3 linked regions of the Oryzias latipes genome follow. The protein of the gene in region 1 interacts with the protein of each later gene in a pairwise test. Links are inferred from orthologs where the notes say so. Each region holds a gene or a part of one and is shown in the gene's direction. Other genes may lie near its edges.

What was found. The genes of interacting proteins can lie anywhere in the genome.
Region 2: the proteins of drg1 (region 1) and zc3h15 interact in binary tests that used the Homo sapiens proteins (3 or more experiments, as listed by UniProt). The two-hybrid records come from large-scale screens. The link is inferred for Oryzias latipes from reciprocal best matches to the Homo sapiens genes DRG1 and ZC3H15.
Region 3: the proteins of drg1 (region 1) and rwdd1 interact in binary tests that used the Homo sapiens proteins (3 or more experiments, as listed by UniProt). The two-hybrid records come from large-scale screens. The link is inferred for Oryzias latipes from reciprocal best matches to the Homo sapiens genes DRG1 and RWDD1.

The regions. Positions count from the first base shown.
Region 1 is NC_019870.2:14,589,921-14,594,047, reverse strand, and holds the start of drg1 (developmentally-regulated GTP-binding protein 1), read left to right. Parts: upstream 1-1,322; 5' UTR 1,323-1,460; coding exon 1,461-1,499; intron 1,500-4,127. UniProt on the Homo sapiens protein: Catalyzes the conversion of GTP to GDP through hydrolysis of the gamma-phosphate bond in GTP. Appears to have an intrinsic GTPase activity that is stimulated by ZC3H15/DFRP1 binding likely by increasing the affinity for the potassium ions.
Region 2 is NC_019873.2:1,266,121-1,270,148, forward strand, and holds the start of zc3h15 (zinc finger CCCH domain-containing protein 15), read left to right. Parts: upstream 1-1,225; 5' UTR 1,226-1,354; coding exon 1,355-1,429; intron 1,430-2,137; coding exon 2,138-2,239; intron 2,240-2,671; coding exon 2,672-2,774; intron 2,775-2,866; coding exon 2,867-3,019; intron 3,020-3,276; coding exon 3,277-3,368; intron 3,369-3,494; coding exon 3,495-3,677; intron 3,678-3,754; coding exon 3,755-3,835; intron 3,836-4,028. UniProt on the Homo sapiens protein: Protects DRG1 from proteolytic degradation. Stimulates DRG1 GTPase activity likely by increasing the affinity for the potassium ions.
Region 3 is NC_019874.2:9,431,577-9,435,560, forward strand, and holds the start of rwdd1 (RWD domain-containing protein 1), read left to right. Parts: upstream 1-1,181; 5' UTR 1,182-1,311; coding exon 1,312-1,384; intron 1,385-3,377; coding exon 3,378-3,443; intron 3,444-3,529; coding exon 3,530-3,660; intron 3,661-3,984. UniProt on the Homo sapiens protein: Protects DRG2 from proteolytic degradation.

The DNA.
Region 1 (4,127 bases):
GGGGCTTGGAAGTATTAACCTTTGAACAACTCTTTTAAAATAAGGTGGTTAAGTAATTTATTGAAAGGGGAAGACAATATCTGGAACGCATTTCCCAAATACATATTTGACACAATGGGAGGCATTAAATTCTTGCTAAAATGTAATTATAAAATTGAAAAATTACCCACAAAACTTTCAAACTTTTACAAACAAGCCCTGCTGGCCTGGAAACTCGTTTATAAACACAATTTTTCTCCAACATCTTGTTTTATTTGGAATAACAGTAATATACAATACAAGAATAAATCACTTTTTTCCCTAGATGGTATGATAATGATATTGTTTTAATCTGACAACTTTTCAATTCTCATGGATATCTTCTGACGTATGAAGAATTGCTTTTAAAATTCGGTATTCCTGTTCCACCCAGAGAATATGCAATAGTGTTAGATGCCATTCCAACCAGTCTACTTCAACTGTTTAAAGGGATTTATAACACAAGTCAATTAAGAACCCAGACAATTTTTTTGGACAATGTGGATATTTGTGTTAATTCAGTTTCCAATAAGCAAATAAGAAATCTTTTACAGACCACAACCTTACCTGCTGGGAAATTCTATTGGGACTCCAAATTTGTGGACATAAAATGGACTTATGCTTGGACTATTAGTAATAAATACTGTCTAAATAACAAAATAAAAGAGGTGTCCTTCAAAATATTGCATTGTATATATCCTACCAAAAAAACTTTGAGTAGATTTGTTGTTGACATGGACCTGTCTTGTTCATTCTGTGGAACTCAGGAGGAAACTATTTATCATCTGTTTGTGGACTGCAGACATACTAATATGTTTTGGGTTGAAGTGGGGAACTATATTGGAAATATAACTAAACAAACTGTTACATTTTTGGATAAAGACATTACTCTGGGTTACTTTAATGTCAAAGTAGACAAAGATTGTATCTTCATCACACAATTGTTTTTACTATTGGCAAAATTCCATATTCATAAAGCCAAATGATCAAACTCCAAACCTAAATTACAGCAGTTTTTAAATGAAATAAATCAGTACTGTACCAGTATCAAACATCTGCAAAACCAAAAAGCAATTCGAACTAATTTGATTTTTGAAAAATTTAAAATTTATTAAACCTCAAAGGTATTTGAATTAATGATTCTTTTTGTACTATGTTGTATATGTATGTGTATATATTTATATATTTTTTGTTCTATTTCTTATATTTTTCTCCAACATGTATACATTTCAATTCCCCCTGAGACATTCACATTGTTATTGTATTATTTTGTTTGTCAATAAAGTTTGGGAGGGAAAAAAGGTTTGCAGTCTCGCGAGAGTCTCCACAAGACACGGCACATTCTACATTGTGCGGTGTGGATGCTAAGTTTTGCAACTTTCGTGTAAAATCTTTTTATTTTATCTTCCTCTCGTAAACAGCGTCCTGGAACTGTCCTCAAAATGAGTATACTTGCAAAAATAGCGGAGATTGAAAATGAGGTAAGGTTGAAACGTTGACTAGTTAAGCAAACACAGCAGACACGTTTTAGCTAACGCTTAGCGTTGGATGCTAACAGTTGTGAATACTGATGATAATCATAATCTCGGCTGGGTTTTATCTGTATACATTTGACATTTATGCACCTGACAGCTTAAAATACTCAATATAAGTTTTGTATCAGTCCGTCCCCCCCCCCCCCCCCCCTGGATTACAAAGAATGTTGGTTAAAGAAAAACAACATATGTCGAAAACACATGACTAATAAATGAGGTTGTGGTTAATTGTATTAATTTAAAAGTTTAGCCTGATGACGTTTTTAAGTGTTGACCAGACATTTTAGATGTAGCTTGGGTAGCTACGGCACCTGACCAGTTTAAATCCACAATATATTTACAAGACATTGCATTTAGAGAAAAATAATAACTTCTGTAATGATTTTATTTTTTTTAGAAATTTGCTATTTTACATATGATACTTACTCAAAGACTGAAAATAGTAGAATTTATCCAATCACTTGTGCATTTTTGCCATGTGGGTTTCTTTTTTGAATCGTGTGTGCCTGTGTATCCATACATATAAGCTAGTTAAAACTTTATTTATAGTTTATAGGGTATTTATTTTGAAACCCTATAAACTATATTTATCAATTACATTGACATGGGTCAAAACTCCCAATAGGGAATTTACTTTGACTGTTAAAACTTGTTTATTTTGATTTGATTGATTTAAATTTACACTTTATTAAGTAAACCTTGCTAGTACTGGGTCGGGCCCCGTTTTGCCATCAGAAACTGCCTTAATCCTTTGTGGCATAAATTCAAAATGCTACTGGAAAGATCCCTCAGAGTATTTGGTCCATACTGACATGACAGCATTACACAGTAGCAGCAGATTGGTTGAGATCTGGTGATTGTGGGGGCCATGTGAGTTCGGTGAACTCATTGTCATGTTCAAGAGACAAGTCTGAGATGATTCCAGCTTTATGACATGGCGCGTTGTCCTGCTGGAAGTAGCCATCATCAGAAGATGGGTGCACTGTGGTCATAAAGGGATGGACATTGTAAGAAACAAGGCATTCTGTAGTGGTGTAACCATGATCAATTGATTCTAAGGGGCCCCTAGAAAATGTCCCCCGAGCGAATGTTGCAGCAGAAATAGACTCATCAGATTAGGCAACGTTTTTCCAATCTCCTATTGTTCCGTTTTGGTGAGCCTGTGTGAATTGTAGCCTCAGTTTCCTTTTCTTAGCCGACAGGGGTGACACCCGGTGTGGTCTTCTGCTGCTGTTGCCCATCTGCCTCAAGGCTGGACGTGTTATGCGTTCAGAGATGGTCTTCTCCATACCTCGGTTGTAACGAGTGGTTATTTAAGTTAATGTTGCTTTTTCATTTGATGGAACCAGTCTGGCCTCAGGCATCAACAAGGCATTTCCGCCCACAGAGCTGCTGTTCACTGGATATTTTCACTTGTTCGGACCATTCTCTGTAAACCCTAGAGATGGTTGTGGGTGAAAATCCCAGTAGATCAGCCCTGTCTAAAATACTTAGATCAGCCCGTCTGGCACCAACAACCAGGCCACGTTCAAAGTTGCATCTTTTCTTCCCTATTCTGTTGCTAAGTTTGAACTGCAGCAGATCATCTTGAACATGTCTACATGCTTAAATACATTCAGTAGCTGCCATATGATTGGCTGATTAGAAATTTGGGTTAATGAGTAGTTTGATGTGTGTCTAATTAAGTGACCAGTGAGTTTATTTCAAGCATTAAAAACAATTGACTGCTACAATAAAAAGTAACAAAACACATATATCAAACCCATGTCAGATATAAAGCAATGTGTTTATTAGAATAAAAGGAAAAATAAATGATTTAAGATTATGCCATCTTCTTGACAGTGTAATTACTCATTACTTGGGGTGGCAGTGGTGAAGCGGTAGGGCGGTTGACCCATGATCGTAAGCTTACAGGTTTGATTCCCGCCTTGCACGCCCATGAGTCGAAGTGTCCTTGGGCAAGACACTGAACCCCACCTTGCTTCTGGTGGGAGGTTGGCGCCAGTGTTTGACAGCGGAGCCGCCATCAGTGTGTGAATGTGTGTGTGACTGGATGAATGGGACTATGGCTGTAAAGCGCTTCAAAGAAGGTAGAAAAGAGCTATATAAGTATAAGTATAAGTATACGCCATTTACTATAACCATAAATAGACTTTTTTGTGGGAATACAATCATATCACAATAGATTCATTTAATATAATGATTATTAATTAGTCAATTAGAGTTTGATTTGTTGCTTCAATGGAAGAGGGAGAAGCAGGATTTTCATAATCACACCCCTATTGTGTTATTGCTTTTTATATGTATTTTTGCATTCTATAATCCAGTTATAATAAGTATATTTAACATTGTATTTAGTTTGTTCTGTTTAGTATCTAATTCATGAAGGAATAGGCTGCAAAAAATGTCAAGTATATGAAATATTAGGGTTAAAATAAATTTTTTAAAAGATTGTGCACATCAATGAAATAAATTGAGTGTTTACTTGTGTTTCTTTGTGATTTAAGCAGTTATGAATATTTATGATGTTTGTTTTTTTCTTATAAGAAACAAATCTGATCATAAAATTGAACA
Region 2 (4,028 bases), on another chromosome or scaffold:
AGCAATTCAACACAGACAGCCTTTTGTTTGTTTGTTTTCAGCACTTCCATGTCCTTATATGGTGATGAATGCTGGTTCCACTTGCAGTCCTTATTACAACACACAAGGTTCATGTATATAAAGAACCAGGTAAATGCCAAAGCTACTGAGCCCTGCAGATGCCACTGGCTAAAAAGGAAAAAAAATCTGATGGTGTTCGGTGGCCAGTGACTAATGATGATGTCAGACCATAGAAGAAGAACTTGGAGGTCCCGTTGGAAATAACAAAGCTCCGACATAGAGCGAGGTGATCTTCTAAACAGGCTTTTATTATTGTTATGGTGATTACTAAGTGCATGTTTGCTTATAGTTTTTTTAAATCTGTGCGGCCAGTGCTTCATAGTTGGCAGAACTGACCCAGAAGGAGGATTAGGATTAGGTTAATATATGCTGACAACATTTAGCCATGAAAGAATTTACACTGGAATTACATCAGGCTATTTTTTCTGGACCCGACTGGAAATACAAATTCTCATGATTGTTTGCACGGTTTCTCAGGACTGTTGATTCAAAAGCCGCCTCCGTTCGTCTGGCGAGGTGACAGACTGTGGTCCGAAGCTTCCTCTGTACGAAGATACGACTTGAGTCCAGCTGCTCTGCTCAGCGACATGGGCATGCTATGTGCACATGCGCACGATTGCGCAACAGTGTGAGCACAATTGATGAATCCGTGGGCGAGATTTATCAGATTTTTTTTTTTAACCACTGGCCCTTGGAGGGCTCCGTACGAATCAAAACGTATGCTGAAATAAATAATTCTTCCTCACAGAAAGGTCCCAGTCTGGATTGAAAGCAGGGCTGTGAGGCGTGAGAGCCCCCTGTGCAGCATAGGGAACTCAGTTTTGGAAGTGTAGATTTGGATAGCACTACAAAATGGCAAACACACTAATTAGTGCACTATGTAGTCAGTAGTGAAGGAAATGGGCACAATCCGTCACAGGGCAACACATGCACGCACGTGCACTCTCACTTTGAAAAATTGACGGTATATTTGTCTGCCATAAAAGCATGTTTTAGGACTAAAGCTGAAGTTCCCGCAGAATTCCCGCGCGTGCACGCGGAGAACACTCAAACTCCACACAGAAATGACAAAGCCAGGGTTCGAATCTTCTCACTATGTGCCGTTCTGTCCTGTAGTTAAATTTAACTCAATCACCCATGATGCACCTCGTCGTAACGCAATGACGCCACAGGACATCAACAACTCACACGTGGCCTAGAACGTGCTAGCAACACCTGCTTCAGGTGCTTCGCGACCCAGAGCACCCTAGTCTAATCTAAATAGTCATCTTCACGTGTCCACAGCTGAGCCAGCATGCCTCCGAAGAAACCCACACAGGCCGCGGGGACCAAAAAAACCCAAGAGAAGAAGAAGGAGAAAATTATTGAGGTAGCTAACGCCAAACACCAGTTAGCTTAGCCTTAGCTGATGAGCTAAATGCTAACTCGGTTGCTTTACTTTACATTAATACGTAATTCCGCTCAGGTGACATTTGACGGGTTTCTAGTTCATTCAGTTAGTGTTTTTTAAAGACTTATTTGGCTGTTCTGAAGCTGCCCGACTGTCACGGGGCAGTTGGACGGGTGTTGCAGGCCGAGCGGCCGAACCAACGTCCGGCTTCTAATGAGAGACGCCGGCGACACGAGCCCGCGGTTGGCCTTAACAGAAACGCTGTGATCCGTTTCAGGTGTGTTCTGATTTCAGAACAGAGAGTGAGTCCTGTCGAATAAACGATCGTTTGGCTGTAAAGCTCCGAAGCGCCGTCAGGAGCGGCCGCCGCCCGGAGGCCCGGCTTAGGTTCGGTTCTCCTGACCCGCAGGGCTTGTTGTCACTTTGCTTCATGTAGTCGTTCTGTGGTCTGTGTTTGTCCATGGCTCTGTAATCCTCAAAGTATGTCCATATTTAGGGGTTTTAAAGCTCATATCTGATGATCATTTCTGAAAATGGAAACGTCTGAAATCTCCACCTGTCAGTTCAACTCACCTGAGACTTTTTGGGTGGCGATCAAACTTGTCGCAGCTCCTCTGATGGTTTCGGTTTCTCCAACCTCTCAGTTCAGAGGAGGTTCTTGATGTTAACACAGGCTTCTCCCCTCAGGACAAAACGTTCGGCCTGAAGAACAAGAAGGGCGCCAAGCAGCAGAAGTTCATCAAGAACGTCACTCAGCAAGTGAAGTATGGACAGCAGAGCGCCCGACAGGTGAGGAGCTCTCAGCTGCAGGGGGTGTGGGGGTCTTTAGCTTCTGCAACAGCAGGCTGCTTTCAAGGACTCCTCTTTTTAGAGGACATTTGTGGTTCTGACAGACGCATTTCGCTTCCGTCTGAATATTAGTGTAACACAGTAAAAGACGAGCGTCTCCATCCTGTTTTAATTCAGAAGCTGCCCACAGTGCAGCTTCAGACCCCTGTGCAGGTTTCCATGTGAAACAGCATCTGGGGGTGAACATGTCTCAGTGGGAAGTGTTTCACACATGGATGGATGGATGGATGGATACATACGGGTTCTGCTCACATTTCCCCTGGCAGTGGGGGCAGTGAAGGAAAGGATGTGTGCGGTGTGCGGTATAGCTGTGTGCGCTGACAATGTTCTGATGCTTCCCTGCTGAAATCTCATCCTGTTTTGATGGCGCAGGTCGAGAATGAGAAGGGCGGCAAGAAGGCAGACAAGAAGAAGGAGCTGGATGAACTCAATGAGCTCTTTAAACCCGTCGTCGCTGCGCAGAAAGTTAGCAAAGGTGATCGGGCGCCGGAGTGGAGGAGGCGTGCAACCTTCCTGTTGTGTGAAGACGGCGCTTAAAGAATATCTCCCTACTTCCCTCTGTTGCAGGAGTTGATCCAAAGTCGGTGCTGTGTGCGTTCTTCAAGCAGGGCCAGTGCACCAAAGGTGACAAGTGCAAATTCAGCCACGACCTGTCCATGGAGAGGAAGTGTGAGAAGAGGAGCGTCTACGTGGACGAGCGGGACGAAGACCTGGAGAAAGGTTTCGCTCCAGGCTGTTTCTTACATGTTTGGCCGAAAAAACAGTTGAAGCTGGAGATGACGATCTTCATTTGCTTGATGCACACTTCCTTGACAGTGCAGCACCTCTCAGGGGTTAAAGGTCACCGATCACAGCTCACGTCTCGTGCTGCGTTACAGATGCAGATGATCCGAGAACGTTTGCTGTTCTTAAGAGCAGATGATGGTTACGATGTTTGATCCAAAGTAGACCTCTGATGTTGCTGCTGTTCTGCTCAGACACCATGGAGAACTGGGACCAGAAGAAGCTGCAGGAGGTGGTCGACAAAAAACACGGGGAGGCAGAGAAGAAGAAAGCAAAAACTCAGATCGTAAGTCTGCCCAAAACATGAAGGTGCTGCTGTGTTTTCACAGCTTCAGTGGTTCTCATGAGGGCTTGCTGATCCTTCAGACCTGTGAAGCTCCTACCACAAATGAACAGGACCTTGTTGTTTCAGGTGTGCAAGTACTTCCTGGATGCCATTGAGAACAACAAATACGGCTGGTTCTGGGTGTGTCCCGCCAACGGTGACACCTGTATGTACCGACATGCCCTGCCGCCCGGCTTTGTGCTGAAAAAAGACAAGAAGAAGGAGGAGAAAGAGGAGGAGATCTCACTGGAGGAGCTGATCGAGAATGAGGTACGAACTGACGGGCTGCGTGGAAACAACCTGACCCCCCACCGATCACTAACGTCTGTCCGTCCGCCTGCCCCCAGCGAGCGGCTCTGGGCCCAAACGTCACCCGGATCACACTGGAGTCTTTCCTGGCTTGGAAAAAGAGGAAGAGGCAGGAGAAGGTAGGAGCAGCTGTCCCTTCACCCTGAGCGCACTTCTCATGTCAAATTTGCATCTGTTTGGAAGCGCGTCAAATATGACTGTCAAAAAGCGTATTCGTGCTCCTGACGCGGGTGGGAGGAGCCAGCAACGTGCACAGATAGGTGCATGAGCACCTGCCCTTTACTGCCTTTATCGTTTTTTTAGGATTTTTTT
Region 3 (3,984 bases), on another chromosome or scaffold:
GACTAGTTAGTATTCAGAGATTATTTAACTTAATGTTAATGTGTTTAAATTAAAATTAATAACAATAACTATTAGTTGTTATTAATTTTACCGGTACCGGTCCGCGGCCCGGGGTTTGAAGAACACTGCTGTACAGCATCACACACTGATCTGTGTGACAATGACAACTTATGGGACTTGAACTTTTGGGTGGATTCATTCCATGGTGCTGATTTGTTTCCCTTTATATATTAGAATGATGGGTTTAGTCATTTTAGTTTGGGCTGAGCATTGGCAGAACCGTTTTCTGTATTATTTTCATCACGATATATCAAGTTGGGCAGTCATTTCTAAGGAGCTGCTATATTTGACGATCGTCCACTTGGTTTGGCTGGGTTTTAGTGTTTTTATGTCCAAAGTCAGACTTTTAAATTACAGATTATATAAGAAAGTAGGCTGCTTACCTGTGCAACTGATTGTGTTTTTGTTGACATTGTTTTGACTAGAGTATTTTTGTATTTTTTGTCGTCTGTTCATAAGTTGTGGTTACCAAGTCTTTATTATTTGTTTGGGACTTGGGACTCAACAGAGAAACAATGACATGATGACACTGGGCTGTCCTTAATCAGGTCAGAATAAATGTGTGGCGCTCAGATGAGGGACTTGAAGGGGAGCAGACTCCATGGCGAAGGACAGCAGAGCATCCAGACATCCACGCCGTGATGAGGCACAGTGCCGTCAGGACGACTAATCGAGAGTCGGACATTGCTATAGTTTGACAGGGACGGGAGGAGCAAGAAGTACAGCTGTCAACAAGGGAAGTTAGTGTTGCATTGATTTTAGAAAAAGGATACATTTTTTATTATAGCAGTTATACTACTGCCTTTTTTACTGATGTAATTTTTATCACTTCAGGAAAATAACCTGTATTGTTCCACTGGGTTTTATTACTAAAGTCTTAGTTTTTAATCATAAAAATCAACTGAAGGCTCTGACATTTGCATTATATATATATATATATATATATATATATATATATATATATATATATATATATATATATATATATATATATATATATATATTATTTTATATATATTATTTATCAATCTCCCAGAGCATTATGGGAGATTGGGTTCAGGGTAGTTCCGGCGTTTTCCCGCTCCCGCTCAGGAGATGGCGGTAACGCGCCTGACAGTTGTTGGTCACCTGTCCAAAGAGAGAGGAAGACGATGCTAGGCGCCCGGATGAGCACCGAGCGCATCGATCGGTTCCCGCACGGTCTCACTGCACGCATGCCTGCGCGGTGTTGTCCCGCATGAACCCGCAGACATGACGGACCACGCTGAGGAGCAGCGGAACGAGCTGGAGGCCATCGAGTCCATCTACCCGGACTCCTTTACAGGTTCGAGAGGAACTTCCGCCCCTGCTGCGGATAGCAGGAACCAATCAGAGTGGAAGACAATATGCGACCAAACTGGCCCGAACTTTAGCCGAGATCCGGTCGCGTGAGGTCGAACTGGGCTTTTGGTTCCGTACGGCTCAAGACATTTCCTTAAAGCGAATTTAAACCCAGAAGTCCAGAATTAGCGGTTCTGAAAGATCTGTAGCACTGAGTGCACACCGCAGGGTGTCAAGAATCTGACCTACGGGCTTCTGTTCCGGCCCGGACCGGTCTGCGGTTCTGAGGTGTAAACTGCAGGGTCAGATTTAACATTGGATCTATCCTGCAGGAAACTGCTGCAGCTGCTTCGGCACTAATGCTGGCCTTGTTTTGGTGACTGGGTCGGACGGTTGACTGTATATATACCTGGACTGAATGGCCCCTCCCCCTTGGTGGTCCAAACAGAAAGTACCTGCTGGCTCCAAGAACCCCAAACCCCATAGACTTCTGTAGAGAAGTAAACAGCTGTTATTCAGTCATTTTATTGGTCAGAATAATCATTCTGGCTCTAATACCTTTTATTTTACATCTTGATAATCCTCTTTTTTCTTGATTTTCTTTCTTTACCGCAAATTATTCAAGTTCTAAACTGACCAATCAGACGCCCGCTGGCCCCCACCTCAATGTTGGATTGACAGATAGCCTGCTTTCAGTGGACGGGATGTGGACTTCCAACAAGCTCATTCCTGATTGGTGTCTCGAATCAACTCGGACCGATCACTTCGTCCGGCTCCAACATGGTGACGTCTGTATCCCTGAAAAAATTGGTAAATGGGCTTCCTTTGGCTGGAGCCAGAGGTGAGGCATTTTATATGAGTGACGTCACACCAGCTCAGTCCTGTTCTTTATACAGTCAATGGTTCAAACCAAGGCCTCGCCCTTCCCCCTCTCGTTTGACACAAACCAGCTCGACAAATATTGCCGTTCCTCCAAAGCTGGACACCCAGTCTTGGTGGAGGCAGGTTGCAGGAGGGAGCAATTCTGCAAAATCCATTGGATGACCTCATAGATTATAACTCCAGTGTGTTTGATGTTGATGGTTCTAAATGTAAATGCTGCAAGAAAATAAATGAAATACATTTCTTAACATCCTGGGTAATACCACTAGAGCAAAAGTAAGCAGAGTGAAAGGCAAAAACACTCTCAAAACGTGAAGACAGTGAACGCAGGGGGTTAGACTCACCGACTGTATAAAGAATTGGACTGAGCAAGTGTGACGTGCCCCAAAAAAATGCCTTCCCTCCTGCTCCAGCAGAATCAATCCAATTCAGTTGCCATTTTTCTAAGATGCAGGCGCAATGTTGAAGCCAGACAATGGGGATTGGTCGATGTTTCTGTGGCAGCCACTTTCGCCAGTCAAGAGTTATCTCCTGAGGAGAATCTGTCAGTAAAATATTTTGGGGGGGGGCAGAGGGCACCACCTACTTTTATTGAGGCATCTGATTGGTCAGTTTAGAACTTGAATAATTTGCAAAAATAAAAAAAATGAGGATTATCAAGAGGATATTAAAAAAAAGGTTTTCAGAACAAAATGGTTATTCTGACCAATAGAATGACTGATTAAAAGCTGCTTCTTTCTCTATAGAAGTCTATGGGATTTTGGCTTAATTGAGCCAGCAGATACTTCCTTTATGGAACGCCGGGGGGAAGGGCTACTCGGTCCAGTTCTCATATAAAGTCAATGCTAAGACTGCACAGAGATAGACTGGTAGGTGTCACTGCACAGATGTCATACAGAGGATTTGCCTGCAATGTGAGCGAAAGGGAAAAGGACCTTCAAAGCATGTATGCCCAGTTTTAAAGCAACAAACCTTTTTCTGCTTCTCATCCTGCTTGTTTTCAGCACAAAAACACAAAACAGTACCTGTGGTTACTATACTTTGAGTTCATTCAATGTTCCACTTTTTCCTTCTTCAGTCTGACTTTGTGACCTTGGCATTATTTGTGTCTACAGTTCTCTCTGAGAACCCCATTGTCTTCACTGTCACTGTGACCTCAGACATAGGGGAACACGGCAAAAGTGAGTATGCCTCCTCATCACCCTTTGTGGACTGACCTGATTGTCACTACAGCACTTTCATCCACATTGTTTTCTCTACTTTTCAGCTGTGGAAGCAACATTAAAGTTCACCTATACAGAGAAGTACCCTGATGAGCCGCCATTGTTTGAGATATATTCACAGGAAAACCTGGAGGACAGAGATGTTGAGGAACTTCTGCTGCTGCTTGAAAAAGAGGTCTGTTTTTAGTTGCACTGATGTCTGCAGATCCTGTTGTTTACCTGCTGCAGTAGTTTGGAGTTTTTGCTCTGACAGCGTTCCTGTCATAACTTAATCCTTTAACGCTGTAGTTGTAGTCCCAGTGTTGACGTTCTTTTGTCTGCCGTAACTCTTCAACCATTTTGGAGTTAACATAAAGCCAGTGGATTCTGACGCTGAGAAAAGCAGCTTTGCCCCGTTATGCAAAGTGTACAAAACCGATATGAAACCGCGTTTGTTTGCATCAGAATCAGCTGATTCACGTTGAACGCATAAAAGGCCAAAAACTGACAGTATATCAAG